Stegostoma tigrinum: one gene and its partner. The protein of the gene in region 1 purifies or fractionates together with the protein of each later gene. This does not show direct contact. Links are inferred from orthologs where the notes say so. Each region holds a gene or a part of one and is shown in the gene's direction. Other genes may lie near its edges. The genes, in order: bcar1 and bcar3.

Region 1 (8,688 bases):
GGTATGTCTGACACCACGCCCCAAAACAACTACGCCATACAGAGCTCAGCCATTGCAGGAGGCTCGCAGGAGGTCAACAGTAATATTTTAGGGCATCGCTGAAGAAGTCAAACATCCTTGCTGATTCATGGGATTCCCCACCTGGTAATTGACCAAAATAGAGGAGATTCAATGCTGGGTAGTAGCAAACAATGAGAAATGTCATCAGTAATGATGCAAAGGTAATACAACAGACTGAAGGGAGCACATAACCCATACTCACCCATCTCATCTCTTGATCCTACCAGCACCTCCTGAAGTTGCAGCTAGCACACTGGGTTCATCAGCTATCCCTGAATCCATTAAAACAGTGTGGAAGCAAGTCATCCTCAATCCCAAGGGTCTGTCTGAGATGGAGAAGCCATAACAATAGATCACACAATTCCTTTTCTCGTGTATTAGCAGAATATTTCTGGAAAATGAATTACATCAGATTTGCAGGCCAAAGATCACTTTTAGATATTCTCGAATCAACCTATTCAGGGATGTTATGACACACCCCTAGAACAGGTGGGACTTGAACCCACGTTGCCTGCCTTAGAGGTAGGAACACTGCCAATGCTTTTGTTACTAATCATTTGTAGCCTAGACCAATAAGTAGGATGTACACCATGTGCTGCTGGTCTTTATAATGTGTCCTCTGTATAGCAATGCAATAAATTAATAAGTAAGAAACTTTCATAATTATCAACTTTAAACCATAGCCTGTATAGTCAAAGGGTAAGTATTTGTCATGAAATGGTTTGTTTAACAATGACAGAACTCTCATCTCAGTCAGTATGTTGTTGTTTTCAGGGCCCACAGGAAAATCTAGGCTGTTGCATTGGCTCTTTTCTGAAGCAGTGCTATTGTGTTAGCGATGCCATTATTTAGATGAGGATGTTAGACCCTAAGATCCCACTTGCCCTCTTAGGTGGATGTAAGATATTCCATGGCACTATTTTGAAGCAAGAGATAACACAGTGTGGAGCTGGAGGAACACAGCAGGCCAGGCAGCATCAGAGGAGCAGGATAGTTGACATTTCGGGTCGAGACCCTTCTTCAGAAAGGGACAAGCCTTTTTTTCTCCATATTTGCAGTAATATGATTGGAATAAAGAAAGTAATCACTAAAGATCATCATTGTTCAACATTAAATGCCCATCAAGTACATGCTTCGCTCTGACACAAATGCCAAGACCCTCATGCAGTTTTTATACCAGCTAACTGCTTTATTACCTTATAATCATTCCTTGTTATGCTAGCTATTAGCTTTTTTTTTAGTTAATGCCTGGAAAATCCAACAGTGTGGGTTCAATCCCTGCACTGACTGAAGTTTTCATGGAGCACTCTTTGTCTCTACCTCTTCTCTTGACTGATCCTGAGGTTAAACCACCGCCAGTTATGTTCGTTTAGCGAGACAGCAGCCCTATGGGCTAGTAAGGCTATGGGAACTTCGTCTTTACTGAAGTATCTGGCATATCTCGTATATTACATTATTATATAAAGCCTTATAAGGACCTATTCAGTGTAATGCAAGCATTCTTCCAATGGACTGTGGATGGGCAATCACAGTTTCACATGGGGCTGCATGATCTTTGCTTATTTATTGGCCATTGTTGAAGTTTGTTTCCAAACTGTTTCAGAACAGTTACAATGTCACAGCGAGGCTTGAGGTGCTTGGCACGGAAAGTCACTGTACACTATGTCATGTCCTAGCTTAATACTTGAATAGAGTTCTGTGAAATCAGGGTGAGGAGAATTAGACTTGGAATGTTTGATACACTTAATAAAGTAATGGAGCAGATTGTGTTTCAAGATTTGAACACACAAGCTTCTAATGATGGACTAAAGACTCTAGAAGTGCTTCAGCACTTTGCAACATGTTTCAATCATTAAAACTTGTGTGCAAGCTTTTCATATGTTCCTCTTGTAATTGTTATGAGTGTCAATGGTTAGATTTTTAACCTTGTTGTTAGTGATTAAGGGATCTATCACAAATGGAGCCACATCATTAACAAATGTCCGCCCTTTAAAGACAATGGAGGCACAGCACAACTAATTTCTTATTTCATGTTTTATGGACAACTGCAATACCTGAGAAACAAATTTCACTGCATGCAGTAAGTGTAAAAATTTGCAAGGTTTGTCACAGGTAGGTACACTACAAAGCCATCATAGAATCCCTACAGTGTGGAAGCAGGCTATTTGGCCCATCGAGTCCACACCAACCCTCCGAAAAGCCCCCCACCCATATCCACTACCCCTACCCAATCCCGATAAACCTGCATTTCCCATGTCTAACCCACTTGGCTTGCACATCACGGGGCAATTTAGCACGGCCAATCCACCTAGCTTGAATATCTTTGGACTATGGGAGGAAACTGGAGCACCTGGAGGAAAACCACACAGACATTGTGAACGTGTAAACTCCACACAGACAGTTGCCCGATGTTGGAATCAATCCTGCGTCCCTTGTGCTGTGAAGCAGCAGTACTAACTACTGAGCTACTGTGCCACCATCATCCCAGCCATGTGACTAAATGAGAGGAGAAAGGCAAAAATATTGAGTTCAGAAGACCACATCACTGGCCAGGAAGTGCCTTAAATACAGGAAACCTTTTGTTGCAGTAAAACCAGAAAATTGCAGTACCATTTCATTCCATATTCTCATTGATTCCAATGATGTGGTTTATTACCTGTGAGTACAGCAGCTAGAATGAATTGATATTTGGGTGCAAATGTAATTATAGGCTATATGATCAAAACACTGTTGTGCAGAATGAGGTCACCTAAGCTCCTCCAAGGTAGAGTCAAATATATTAATTTACAAGTAATATTGATGCCAAGCGATCTCAGAATGAATATTTATCACATAGATGTGCCAGGAAGAGTTAGACCAAGTGTCTTTAATGGTTTGTTTTGATCCTTATCTGTATAAGCTTCTTATCCTTAAGCTTACACGGATCTAATCATTTATTCCCATTTCCCTCTTATCTGTCCCTGTTTCCCATCTCTTTAAGGAACAAAGGAATCATTTGATGGTGAGGACTGCAGTCTATCTATTTTGTCTTCTACCATCTGAGTAGACACAACAATATTTGAGTTATTGAATCTTCATATTTTTGCTCAATCAATCTTTATTGATTAGCCTCTAAAGAAACCTAGACAAGCGGCAAGGAAAATAGATTGGAGGCGTTAGAGAACTGCAGATTCATAGTTGTTTGTTCCTGTCAATGTTATATGGCATTTCCCATATAACATGCAGTTTAATAAAGTGTTGACAACTTTTGTGTATTGGACTAATTAATGTGGTCCTTCTCAAACTTATTTATTTTATTGTTGATTGTGGTTCCATCTGAGAATTGGCTTCAGTATTTCCTGTATTGCAACAATGACTATACTTTCGAAGTACTTTGTGTGTTGTCAAGAGCTTGAAGAGCAGCAAAAGACACTAGCTAGCAAACAGGAAAATAAGTAGAAGAGTCAGAAACCGATAGGGAATTGGGTGAACTGGTGAGAAAACAGGAACTTTAGCAGGCAAGAAGTGGACAGTCAAAAAGACTTGTGGGATGTACCAACAGCGAAGCTGAGCCAAATACAGGAAGTTAAAAATAATTAAGCAAGAAGACATCCAGGAATGAGAAACAGATAGGAGTGAACACACACACACACACACACACACGCACACACAAAGTTATTTGGCCAATCAGGTCTGCACTGGACGTCCAAATGAGCATTTCAGCCCTAGAAAGAATCTGAAGGAGTTCCTCAGAGTGGTGTCCTAGACCCAACCATTTTTAGCTGCTTCATCAATGACCTTGCCCTCCATCATTATGTTAGCAATTGGGTTGTTCACTGGTGATTGCACAATGTTCACGACCATTTGCAACTCCTCAGATATTGAAGCAGCCTGTGTCCATGTATCTCAAGATTTGGACAGCATACTGAATTGGACTAATATATGGCAAGGAAATTTTGTACCAACTAAGTGCAAGGCCATGAGCATTTCCATGAAGAGAGAATCTTGCTCCTTGATATTCAGTGGTATTATCATTGTTGAATCAACATCCTTGGGGTTATCATTGACCAGAAATTGATCTGCACTGCCAGATTAAATACTGTGACTACAGGAGCAGTTTAGATACTATATTTTCTTCAGTAAGTTACTCACCATCAATGCACGATTCACAAGACTCATATCAAGAGCGTGCTTCACACCATCCAGGCCAAAGCAGTCTGCTTCATTGACACCCCATTCACCAGTTTACAACATTCACTCCCTTCGCCTTCGCTGCACAACGATAACAGTGTGTACCATTCAGCAGTAACTCACCAAGGCTCCTCCTACAGAATCTTTCCTCCACCACCGAATGTACACAGGACAGCAAATACGTGTTTACTAATACGTGCAAGTTTCTGTTTAAGTCACGTGCTATCAAAATTTCTGAATTCGGTTAATGAACAAAAAGTAATATCTGTAAAACAGCAATTAATCAACCTGGAATAACACTTTCTATTTTCTGTCTTTATTTCCATCCCATTACCTACTGAAATTCATAGGCGTTTATAACTTTGAGGTAAATATCTTTAAAAAATGCATAAATCATTGGCTATGAACCTTTGGTGGTCGTGCAGAGAGTGGGAGAAAGTAAAACGAGGATAGAACCACACTCAGTTTCAATGACAAACTGAAATTGAGAGAATCAGCTCTATAGCAGACAAGGCAATGAAATGTTTGAGCCCGGAAACTGTGTCGAATTCCAGGACACTGCTAATCCCATGTTATTAATAGAACGTAAAGATGCAGCACTTGGTTATGAGTTTCTTTCAAGATAACCTCAAAAACCATGGCGCTCCTGTGAACACGGTGGTTCAGGCTGCACAGGGACGCTGTGTAGCTCCGCACTGCTCTGTCCTGCGCTGCTTCATGTCAAAGAGTAGTGAAGGAGATTAAGCTCCGGCAATAACCCCCTGTGTAGACAGGCTCAGCGACTCTCTATTGCCGACGTGTAACTGTTTGCACTGAGCTCATGGGGAGGTGCACTCCAGTGAACGGAGGCTCTCTGTTTTGTGTGCGGGCTTTTGCAAACAGCTGATCGAACCAAACTGACAGAGCCCCAGCTGCTGTCACTGTTCCTTTTAGCAGAAAAGTGCGAGGCAGGCCATTCCTGGAGAAAGTAGGGGTATGGTCCCTTTAATGGAAACTCTTTACCCACTGGATTGAGTCGGTTTCCCAGCGCCTGCGCTCTGCACGGTTGGCGGTGCCTTTAAGGTGAAATTGCCGATTTCGTCATTGCAGGCGATTGAGGGGAGGAAGAGAAAGAGGAGGAGAGAGAGAAAGAAAGAAAAGAAGAGAAGAAAAGAAGAAGAAGAAGAAGAAGAAGAAGTAGTAGTGGGGTGGTGGGTCTGGGCGTTAGAACAAGGATTCAGTACGAGACAGTGTGCAAGTTAATGTGTAGGAGCCCAGGGCTGGGGAAGAGCCAGAGAGAGACACACACACAGACTGACAGGAGGCTGGGTTGGGGGGTGGGAAAGCGAGTGGAAATTCACCAGGAGCGCAGTTCCCTGCCAGAGGCTGTCACTGAACTGAAGATTACAGAGCTGCAAGCAAACGGAACCTGCGACTTCAGGGTGCTGACAGTCCTGGGTGGCAGAGGGAGACGATGGGATCCACCTGATCGCCTTCCCGAAAAATCAGGCAGTTATTCCCAGCCGCCTTCCCAACGCTGGGAGGAAACTGATCAGCACGACATCCCTTTCAGATCGCCCGGTGCGGAGGAAGAGCCGGAGATGTCTGTGCCTGTGAGTATCTCTTCACGTTCACAAAGTCCCCTTCCCGTGCCTGCAGTGAAGTGCAGCCTCGCTGGCCAGTGGCTCCCCCCGAATCGGCTGCCGCTGTTTGCAAAGCTCGGGTGGGTGATGGTGCCGCGATGTTAGTTGGAGCTGGTTCTGTTTGAATGGGGAGTGTGGAGGCCGGGGCCCCAGGCTGCTAGCTGGAACTCTGTGCACGACCGTTCCCTCTCCTGCGAGACCGGTCCCAAGCCCCGGACCAGTACTTACGAGGCTCCTTTTTATGATAGAGGAGAGTGGGCATTTATTTTCGTGTGCACTTTATCCTGCAGAGTATTTGCAACTGTAAGAGAATCCAGATTCAGATTCGTCTGTGTGGTAAATACTGTCTTTCAGGTTGTTAAATGCAGCGTTTACTGGCAAACCGGGTTTTTTTCTGAATTGGAGGAATTGGTTAAATCTTGTTCGTTTGTTCGCAAATGCACTACGCAAGAATTACAAATTGTTTATTGATGCTCCGAGTGTGGGTGTGAAACTTCATAGCTGAGTATTACCACCTGATCCTACTCTTTGACTATCAACGCCACCCTCCGACCCCCAAAAGTAGGAGAACAAATTTCACCAGAAACTTTTCACTCGAACATAGTTCATCATTTCTATGTTGATATGTTCCCAGTATCCATCTGCCCCTCTCTGTCTTCGGGCTGTTTTCTTCGAACACAATAACAGAGCGAGAGAAAATAAGCAAATCTGGGAACATGGAATAAGCCTTACAGAGATTCAATTCCGTCAAGGCTGTGTACACATCGGCCGCATTCACTGGCCTGAAGGTCAGCTACTGGAACCCTGGTTATGAACAATGTATTTTGGGGTCTTGTTGCCGTTGAGAAGGTGGTGATAAGTTGCCTTTTGAGAATTACTGTAGTCCTGCGGTAAAATGGACTCGTGATACTGTTAGCTGGAGAATTTCAGCTTGTTTTATTGGGCAAAGAAGAAGAAACAGGGAGTTACTTCTGAGATCTGGATAGTAAGTGACTTGAAGGGGCACTTTCAGGTTGTACTGTTCCATGTGCCTGCTGCCCCTGTCAGTCTCTGCTAGCAGACGGTTACCTATAGTTCAACAGCTTAAAATATAGCTGCACAAGTCAAAAGAAACTCGTCTTGGCATGGTACAAAATTACTTTCCTGTTGCTTAATAGACTAAAACCTGGGTACAAAGCTTGTAATGTGCGTGTGACAACAGAAATGCAGCATATGATATGAGCCCAAATTATAATTACTGTAATAAAAGTTCAAAATGACCATTTGGATGGTTTCACTTTACTGTTTTCAGGCTGTGTTGGTACAAGGGCCAAATCAGACATTTTTACTAATGTCTTAGCTGAACTGACTTTAATGTGGAACAGCATGATCGGCGTGCACTGCCAATATGTATCAAATAACAGGGTTATCGCAGTACCTAGGTGGGGTGCTTAGAGTAATTATATAGTAGCAAAGGAACAGGATCTGATTCCTTCTATTTCACTTGTTGGTTTTTAGATCAGTGCACCTCACTGGAACTGAAATCAAATGAAATGCAATAAACGGAGAGCTGATTTAAGTTAAAACGTTTTTTTTTGCTGACCGTGTTTGTTGTCTGTGAGTAATGACTCAGCATCTGTGCTGTGAAAACTATACCGTTTGCTTGAGTGAATATAAATGCAGTGCTGGCAAATTGTACCAAATGTGAGTAGCTTCACCGACTCTGAGAGGATAGATCGGTGACAGGGACCACCATTGGAACTCTGTAGAATTTTGCCAAGTCTCTCTTTTTATGAAAAAATAAACAAAGATCATCAACAGAAACAAATACTTTTGGGGGAAATTGAATAAAACACAGTTGTAAATAATCATGTAAGGCTTTAGTTTGTACAAGAACAGCAGTTTGAATGGGAATTATTCGGTTCAGATAGTCTGTCTGTCTGTTCCAGTATTAGATAAACTGCTTCATAAACTTTATTTACTGGGAAGGTTGTGTGTATTGGTAATGTTACTGAACTGCACGTTGAAGTTCAGAGGGCATGGATTTGAATGCCACCATGGCAGATAGTAAAATTCGAATTCAATTTTTAAAAAAAATCCTGAAATTGAAAAGCTAGCCTAATGATGACCATGAAGCCAATGTTGCAAAAACCCATCTAGTTTACTCATGTCCTTTGGAGAAGGGAATTTATTGCCCCCTACCTGGTCTGGACTAGATGTGACTGCAGAGCCACAGCAGTATGTTAGTCTTAGCTGTCCTCTGAAATGGCCCTAGCAAGGCTGTTAGGGATTGGAAATAAATGCTAGACCAGCCTGAGATGACCGTAAGACGTAGGAGTGGAAGTAAGGCCATTCAGCCCATCAAGTCCACTCCACCATTTAAATCATGACTGATGGGCATTTCAACTCAACTTCCCTGCACTTTCCCCGTAGCCTTTGATTCCTTCTGAGATCAAGAATCTGTCGATCTCTGCCTTGAAGGCTTCTAACGTCCCAGCCTCCACTGCACTCCGTGGCAATGAATTCCACAAGCCCACCACTCTCTGACTGAAGAAATGTCATCAAATTTCAGTTTTAAATTTACCCCCTCTAATTTTAAGGCTGTGCCCACGGGTCCTAGCCTCCCCGCCTAATGGAAACAACTTCCTGGTGTCCACCCCTTCTAAACCATACATTATCTTGTAAGTTTCTATCAGATCTCCCCTCAACCTTCTAAACTCTGAGTACAATCCCAGGATCCTTAGCCGTTCATCATATGTTAAACCTACCATTCCAGGGATCATTCATGTGAATCTCTGCTGGACATGCTCCAGGGCTAATATGTCCTTCCTGAGGTGTGGGGCCCAAAATTAGACTC
Region 2 (8,400 bases), on another chromosome or scaffold:
AGAAATGGGGGAGGGGAAGGGGGTTCTGAAATAAATAGGGAGCGAGGGGGCAGTGGATCCACTGAGGTTTTTCTGGAGGGAAGAGGGTAACTTCTTCAGGGTAGGTAGTCTTAGAGGCTTCGTAGTGGGGTTAAAATTGTTTCAGAGATAGTAGGAACTGCAGATGCTAATAACCTCAGTGGATCCACCTCCCCCTCTCTCCTGATTTATTTCAGAACCCCCTTCCCCTCCCCCATTTCTGAAGAAGGGTCTAGGCCCAAAACGTCAGCTTTCCTGCTGTGTTCATCCAGCTCCACACCTTGTTATCTTGGATTCTCCAGCATCTGTAGTTCCTACTATTTCTGAAACAAAATTGCTGAGTGTTTTGTTTTCTTTTATTATCTAATTCTGCATTATTAGGAGCCATTAAATCAGAAAGACAAGTACTTTGATTGAAATATTGAAAGTAGAAGTAGGAGACCATTTGGTCCTTTTGGTTGGTTCTGCCATTTGGTATGACCATTGCTAATCATCCAGCTCAGTTTTTTTTTTCCTGCCTGACCGCTACTGGTGCCTGGCTTTAGGAATGATCATGTTGCCACCCTCAATGAACTTGCTGAAATAGCCAGTTCTCCTTATTTGAGCCCTGGACTCTTTGACCACGTGGGGCATCACAAAAGAACTTGCAGTTCACAAAAATGCCCTGGACAGTGATCAGACAGTTGGCGACCTCACTTTATTTTCACACCTGGAAACCAGGGAAAGTGAAGACAGTGGCCACACCCAAAGCAGGAGATAGAGCCATGACCCTGGTCCATGATTTTTGGCTGGGAATGCTGGGAAGAGAACTTGACTGGAGACATCCAAAGAGAGAATTGTGATTCAACTCGCGTGAGGTTTTTCAACAACTTTCAGTAAATGCTGGAAGGAAGACAGTAATAGCGTCCTTTTAGATCACCACATTGGTTCATCAGTAGCAGCTTTCTGGCCAATGACTTAGGATAACATCAAAAGTGCCTGATTGGTAAGGTAACAAGTTTATTTTTTATTCTTTATTTCTTAAGCCTTGGGAATTTAGAATAATGGGAACGGAGGTCAGGGCAGTTGAATGTTCCTCCTGCAGAATGTGGGAGGTAAGGGTCACCACTAGTGTCCCTGCTGACTACATCTGCAGGAAGTGCACCCAACTCCAGCTCCTTGAAAACCGCGTTAGGGAACTGGAGCTGGAGCTGGATGAGCTTCGGATCATTCGGGAGGCAGAGGGGGTTATTGAGAGGAGTTACAGGGAGGTAGTCACTCCTCGTACAGGAAAAAGGCAGATGGGTTATGGTCAGGGGACGGAAAGGGAACCGGCAGGCAGGCCAGGGATCCCCTGTGGCCATTCCCCTCAACAATAAGTATACCATTTTGGATACTGTTGGGGGGGATGACTTTCCAGGGGAAAGCAGTGGGGCACAGGTCTCTGGCACAGAGTCTGTCCCTGCTGCTCAGCAGGGAAGGGGGAAGAGGAGCAGAGCATTAGTCATTGGGGACTCCATAGTTAGGGGCAAAGATAGGAGGTTCTGTGGGGTCGAGAGAGACTCACAGTTGGTGTGTTGCCTCCCAGGTGCCAGGGTGCGTGATGTCTCTGATCGTGTTTTTGGGATCCCTAAGGGGGAGGGGGAGCAGCCCCAAGTCGTGGTCCACATTGGCACCAACGACATAGGTAGGAAGAGAGACGGAGATTTAAGGCAGAAATTCAGGGAGCTAGGATGGAAGCTGAGAGCTAGGATGAACAGAGTTGTTGTCTCTGGTTTGTTGCCCGAGCCACGTGCTAGTGAGGCGAGGAATAGGGGAGAGAGAGGGGTTGAACACGTAGCTACAGGGATGGTGCAGGAGGGAGGGTTTTGGATTCTTGGATAATTGGGACTCTTTCTGGGGTAGGTGGGACCTCTACAAGGAAGATGGTCTTCACCTGAACCAGAGGAGTACCGATATCCTGGGGGGGGGGGGAAATTTGCTAAGGCTGTTCCGGTGGGTTTAAACTAATTCAGTAGGGGGATGGGCACCAAAATTGTAGTTCGACTGTAGAAAAGGTTGAGAGTAGGGTGGTCTGAAATAAAGATTCAGGGAAGCAAGATGGCACCGGCAAGCAAGAAGTTGGTTTGAAGTGTGTCTACTTCAATGCCAGGAGTATCCGGAATAAGGTGGGTGAACTTGCAGCATGGATTAGTACCTGGGACTTCAATGTTGTGGCCATTTCAGAGACATGGATAGAGCAGGGACAGGAATGGTTGTTGCAGGTTCCGGGATTTAGATGTTTCAGTAAGAACAGAGAAGATGGTAAAAGGGGCAGAGGTGTGGCATTGTTGGTCAAGGACTGTATTACAGTTGCAGAAAGGATGTTTGGGGACTTGTCAACTGAGGTAGTATGGGCTGAGATTAGAAACAGGAAAGGAGAGGTCACCCTGTTGGGAGTTTTCTATAGGCCTCCGAATAGTTCCAGAGATATAGAGGAAAGGATAGCAAAGATGATTCTCGATAGGCGTGAGAGAGATGGGGTAGTTGTCATGGGGGACTTCAACTTTCCAGATATTGACTGGGAACACTATAGTTCCAGTACTATAGATGGGTCAGTTTTTGTCCAGAGTGTGCAGGAGGGCTTCCTGACACAGTATGTAGATAGGCCAACAAGGGGCGAAGCCACATTAGATTTGGTACTGGGTACTGAGCCCAGCCAGGTGTTAGATTTGGAAGTAGGTGAGCACTTTGGTGATAGTGATCACAATTCTGTTATGTTTACTTTAGTGATGGAAAGGGATAGGTGTATACCACTGGGCAAGAGTTATAGCTGGGGGAAAGGCAATTACAATGAGATTAGGCAAGATTTAGGGAGCATAGGATGGGGAAGGAAACTGCAGGGGATGGGCACATTAGAAATGTGGAGCTTATTCAAGGAAAAGCTCCCGTGTGTCCTAGATAAATATGTACCTGTCAGGCAGGGAGGAAGCTGTAGAGTGCGGGAGCCATGGTTTACGAAGGACGTGGAATCTCTGGTCAAGAGGAAGAAGAAGGCTTATATTAGGATGAGATGCGAAGGCTCAGTTAGGGCACTTGAGGGCTACGAGGTAGCCCGGAAAGACCTAAAGAGAGAGCTCAGAAGAGCCAGGAGGAGACATGAGAAGTTGTTGGCGGATAGGATCGGGGTTAAACCCTAAGGCTTTCTATAGGTATTTAAGGAATAAAAGAATGACGAAAGCAAGATTAGGCCCAATCAAGGATAGTAGTGGTAAGTTGTGTGTGGAGTCAGATAAGATAGGGGAAGCGCTAAATGAATACTTTTCAACAGTATTCACTCTAGAAAACGACAATGTTGTCGAGGAGAATACTGAGATACAGGCTACTAGACTAGCTGGGATTGAAGTTTACACGGAAGAGGTATTAGAAATCCTTCAGAAGGTGAAGATAGATAAGTCCCCTGGGCCGGATGGGATTTATCCTCGGATCCTCTGGGAAGCTAGGAAGGAGATCGCCGAGCCTTTGGCATTGATCTTTAGCTCAGCTCATTGTCTACAGGGATAGTGCCAGATGACTGGAGGATAGCAAATGTGGTTCCCCTGTTCAAGAAGGAGAGTAGAGACAACCCTGGTAATTATAGACCAGTCAGCCTTACCTCAGTTGTTGGTAAAGTGTTGGAAAAGGTTATAAGGGATAGGATTTATATCATCTAGAAAAGAATAAATTGATTGGGATAGTCAGCACGGTTTTGTGAAGGGAAGGTCGTGCCTCGCAAACCTTATTGAGTTCTTTGAGAAGGTGACCAAACAGGTAGATGAGAGTAAACCGGTTGATGTGGTATATATGGATTTCAGCAAGGCGTTTGATAAGGTTCCCCACAATAGGCTATTGTACAAAATCCGGAGGAATGGAATTGTGGGAGATATAGCAGTTTGGATCGGAAATTGGCTTGCTGAAAGAAGACAGAGGGTGGTAGTTGATGGGAAATGTTCATCCTGGAGTCCAGTTACTAGTGGTGTACCACAAGGGTCGGTGTTGGGTCCACTGCTGTTTGTCATTTTTATAGATGACCTGGATGACTGTGTAGAAGGATGGGTTAGTAAATTTGCAGACGACACTAAGGTCGGTGGAGTTGTGGATAGTGACGAAGGATGCTGTAGGTTGCAGAGACATAGATAAGCTGCAGAGCTGGGCTGAGAGGTGGCAAATGGAGTTTAATGCAGACAAGTGTGAGGTGATGCACTTTGGTAGAAGTAACCGGAAGGCAAAGTACTGGACTAATGGTAAGATTCTTGGTAGTGTAGATGAGCAGAGAGATCTGTGTCCATGTACACAGATCCTTGAAAGTTGCCACCCAGGTTGACAGGGCTGTTAAGAAGGCATACAGTGTTTTAGCTTTTATTAATAGAGGGATTGAGTTCTGGAACCAAGAGGTTATGCTGCAGCTGTACAAAACTCTGGTGTGGCCGCACTTGGAGTATTGTGTACAGTTCTGGTCACCGCATTATAAGAAGGATGTGGAAGCTTTGGAAAGGGTGCAGAGGAGATTTACTAGGATGTTGCCTGGTATGGAGGGAAGGTCTTATGAGGAAAGGCTGAGGGACTTGAGGCTGTTTTCATTAGAGAGGAGAAGGTTGAGAGGTGACTTAATTGAAACATATAAAATAATCAGAGGGTTAGATAGGGTGGATAGGGAGAGCCTTTTTCCTCGGATGGTGATGGTGAGCACGAGGGGGCATAGCTTTAAATTGAGGGGTGAAAGATATAGGACAGATGTCAGAGGTAGTTTCTTTACTCAGAATAGTAAGGGAATGGAAGGCTTTTCCTGCAACGGTAGTAGATTCGCCAACTTTAGGTACATTTAAGTCATCATTGGATAAGCATATGGACGTACATGGAATAGTGTAGGTTAGATGGGCTTGAGATCGGTATGACAGGTCGGCACAACATCGAGGGCCGAAGGGCCTGTACTGTGCTGTAATGTTCTATAAATGATTGAATTGGCTTTATTGTCACATGTACTCAAATGAGCACAGTGAAAAGTTCATAAGCTACCACTTACAACTAGTCACCATCCGTTCGAGTTTTACCTGTTGATCGGCCATAAAATTGGATTGTGTTATCTTTCTGCGCTGAAGGCTATTTCGTGAGCTGAGCTAAGGTCTGGCACTGCTGGGAAATGGTTCAGACTCTCAACACTGCAGTCTGACCTCTCTCTCTCTCTCTCTCTCACGCATACAGATCCCAGGCTCTCCTGATCAGACAGGATACAACCATCCAGGCAAACAGAGGCAACTCATTCAGAAGGTGCTCAGCTCTGTCCCGTGCAGAACACTGTGCTCTGTGGGTAGGTAGGTGATTAACTCCACCTTCGGCGAAACGCGGAGTATTTGCCTGATTGTCAGCAATTGTTTTAATTGGATTAGGAAGCTGGTCCAACAGTAGATCGGAAACATTGTGAACGCGTTGGGCTTTGTGCAATTTTTAATCGAGTGGCGTCAAGAAAACTCTTTTCACCTGGAGTGTTGGTGAAGGCTGTGAAGAGTATCGTAGGCGCGCTGCGTTTCTAATTACTGTACACGGTAACGAGTATGTTCGAGCAGAGTGCCCCGTGGCGAAGGTACTCCGGGTGAAATGCCTAACCAGCCCCACTCCTCTCTGTCAGTCCAAACTCTCAGCAGACTGGTCTCCTCACTGAAACCGCAGTGCTAGAGAATCCAAGATAATAAAGTGTGAGGCTGGATGAACACAGCGGGCCAAGCAGCATCTCAGGAGCACAAAAGCTGACGTTTCGTGCTTAGACCCTTCATCCCGAAACGTCAGCTTTTGTGCTCCTGAGATGCTGCTTGGCCTGCTGTGTTCATCCAGCTCCACATTTTGTTATCTGAGACCGCAGTGTTGCCTTGTTTCTGACTTTGCAGCCTGATAATTGAACGGAAATTGCAGTTTCTTCCACAAATGTTTTACTGCTTTCACGTGTTGTCTGGGGACCAGCGTTGAGAGTTAAAGGTCACCTCATCTCTGATCCGCTTGTTTAAACAATGCAACCGGGGATAAGTTATCTGCAGAGTCCCTTGCTAACACTGAAGCAGAAAATCTCGTCAGTTGAAATCGTCCTGTCTGGCCGAAGCTTCCTTCATTGTCCAGTTATTTTAAATTGAACGTTTTACTTAAAACCTTGATAAGGGGAATGTTCCACAAGAACATGTCTGTGTGTTTTAGAACTGGATTTAGTATCTTCCTCACAGCATTTATATCTAAATGAAGTGGGATTGAGTTTGAAGAAAATGTTCAGCTATGCAGCCCTCTCCTAACACGAGGACATCACAGAGCTCAGTGATTGTGAGCAATGCTGTAGTCAAGTCTATGCCCCAGAGCAAATATTTTTCTTTCCCCCATTCATCTTGACTGGGGAAGAAATATTGACCAGGCCTTTTCAGAGCATTACCCAGCTTTTCTTCAACATGGTGCAGTGGGAGCTGGGTACATCTACCTGAGGGGGCAGCTGGAGTCTCAGTTTAGTGTCTCATCCAAACAATGCATGTAGAACTTGGATAAAAGTGTTCAAGGAAACCTTGACTTCAACTAGGGGTTGGGATGAAAACCAGAACCACTGCGTCATTCTTATTACAGTGGTGTTTTGATTGGATTCATATCAGTGCATTGTGAGCATCAAACTGAAAAGAAAATGTTTACCATGCACTTCCTTTCTCTGGGAAAGACACCCCTTTGAAAATTTATATTTTTTTATTATAAGAGGTCCTGCTAAACAACCCTATCAAGATTACGCATAGATGTTTCCCCCACAGAATGAGGCCATTTGGCCCGTCATCTTTGTACTGGTCAACAAAGATCTGACTATACTAATCCCATTTTCCAATTCTTGGCCCATAGCCCTGGAAGTTATGGCAATGCAAGTCAATACCTAAATACTGCTTCAATGTTGAGTTTCTGATTCAACCACCCTTTCAATTTGCAAGTTAGAAACACCCACTATCTGCTCCTGTGAAAAGATTTCTCTTTGAGTCTCCACTTAGCATTTTACCACTTATTGACCCCTTTACTAATGGGGGAAAAAATGCCTTGCTATCTGGCTTGTCTATGCCTTGCATAATCTTGTACTCATCTGTCTGATCTCCTCTCAACTCCAATTCATCCAATCATTCCCCATAGCTTAGACCCTCTAACCCAGACAGCATCCTACTAAGTCTCCTCTGCACCCTCACTAGTGCAATCACATCCTTCCACAATCACATGTGGTGACCAGAACTGCATGCAGTGCTCCAATTGTGGTTTATCCAACAATTTATGGTTTTCATAGAAAAATCAATGGAAGCACAATATGCAAACACCATCCATAATCCTGGCAGATCTTATATTTATTCTGTTAACCCTAGTATTTATTTTGTTCAATCATTATTGGCCAATTTTTACTGAGATGGCCTGAAATCTCTGAGTCCAGCAGACTTACATTGGAATTGCAATTGGTGTGTGATCTCGTGACTTAAGAACTCGCTTTGACACCAAATGCAAGTAGTTAGTGATGCAGAATGACCAGAGTGCAAAGAGGAGGTGGAGAGTTATCTACATTGGGAAAAAATATCTCTTTGGTTCTTGGTTTTGTTTTGAACATATAAAACAAACAGGAAGCTCTCCAACCAAATAGACAGGAGACTTATTTCAATAACTTAGAGACAGTAGGGACTATAGATGCTGAAAGCTGGAATCAATAAATGTGGAGCTGGTAAATGGGAGGGTCAGTGGCCTAGTGGTGTTATCGTTGGACTGTTAATCCAGATAACATTCTGGGAACCCAGGTTCAAATGCTGCCACAGCAGATGGTGGAATTTGAATACAATAAAAATATCTGGAATTAAGAATCTATGATGACCATGACCCCATTGTTGATTGCTGGAAAAACCCCATCTGGTTCACTAATGTCCTTTTAGGGAAGGAAACTGCCATCCTTACCTCGTCTCGCCTACATGTTACTCCAGACCCACGGCAATAGGGTTGACTTTTAACTGCCCTCTAAGGGATGGGCAGTAAATGCTGCCTCACCATTGATGCCCTCATCCTGTGAATGATTAAAGGTAAAGCACAGCAGGTCAGACAGCATCCATAGGATTTTGGACCGAAACATCGACTTTCCTTTTCCTTGGATGCTGTCTGACCTGCTGTGCTTTTCCAGCTCCACATTTATTGATGCTTATTTCAATATTTCACTTGGTGCTCTACATTACTCATTAAAGTTCAAGCATTGCTGAGTGTTGAGTGTGGACTGAAATAACTAGTAGCGAGTTTTGAGAAGATTTGTAGCTCGGGTTGAGATTCTGGATGTGAGTTTGCTCGCTGAGCTGGAAGGTTAGTTTTCAGATGTTTTGTCACCATTCTAGGTAACATTATCAGTGAGCCTCTGACCAA

What was found.
Region 2: the proteins of bcar1 (region 1) and bcar3 purify together in Homo sapiens (co-immunoprecipitation; 4 studies listed by BioGRID and IntAct, counting the BioPlex papers as one, with this or other methods). This does not show direct contact. The link is inferred for Stegostoma tigrinum from reciprocal best matches to the Homo sapiens genes BCAR1 and BCAR3.

Annotation. Positions count from the first base shown.
Region 1 is NC_081369.1:19,944,343-19,953,030, forward strand, and holds the start of bcar1 (breast cancer anti-estrogen resistance protein 1), read left to right. Parts: upstream 1-5,302; 5' UTR 5,303-5,471; coding exon 5,472-5,822; intron 5,823-8,688. UniProt on the Homo sapiens protein: Docking protein which plays a central coordinating role for tyrosine kinase-based signaling related to cell adhesion. Implicated in induction of cell migration and cell branching. Involved in the BCAR3-mediated inhibition of TGFB signaling.
Region 2 is NC_081361.1:85,034,952-85,043,351, forward strand, and holds the start of bcar3 (breast cancer anti-estrogen resistance protein 3), read left to right. Parts: upstream 1-5,165; 5' UTR 5,166-5,327; intron 5,328-8,400. UniProt on the Homo sapiens protein: Acts as an adapter protein downstream of several growth factor receptors to promote cell proliferation, migration, and redistribution of actin fibers.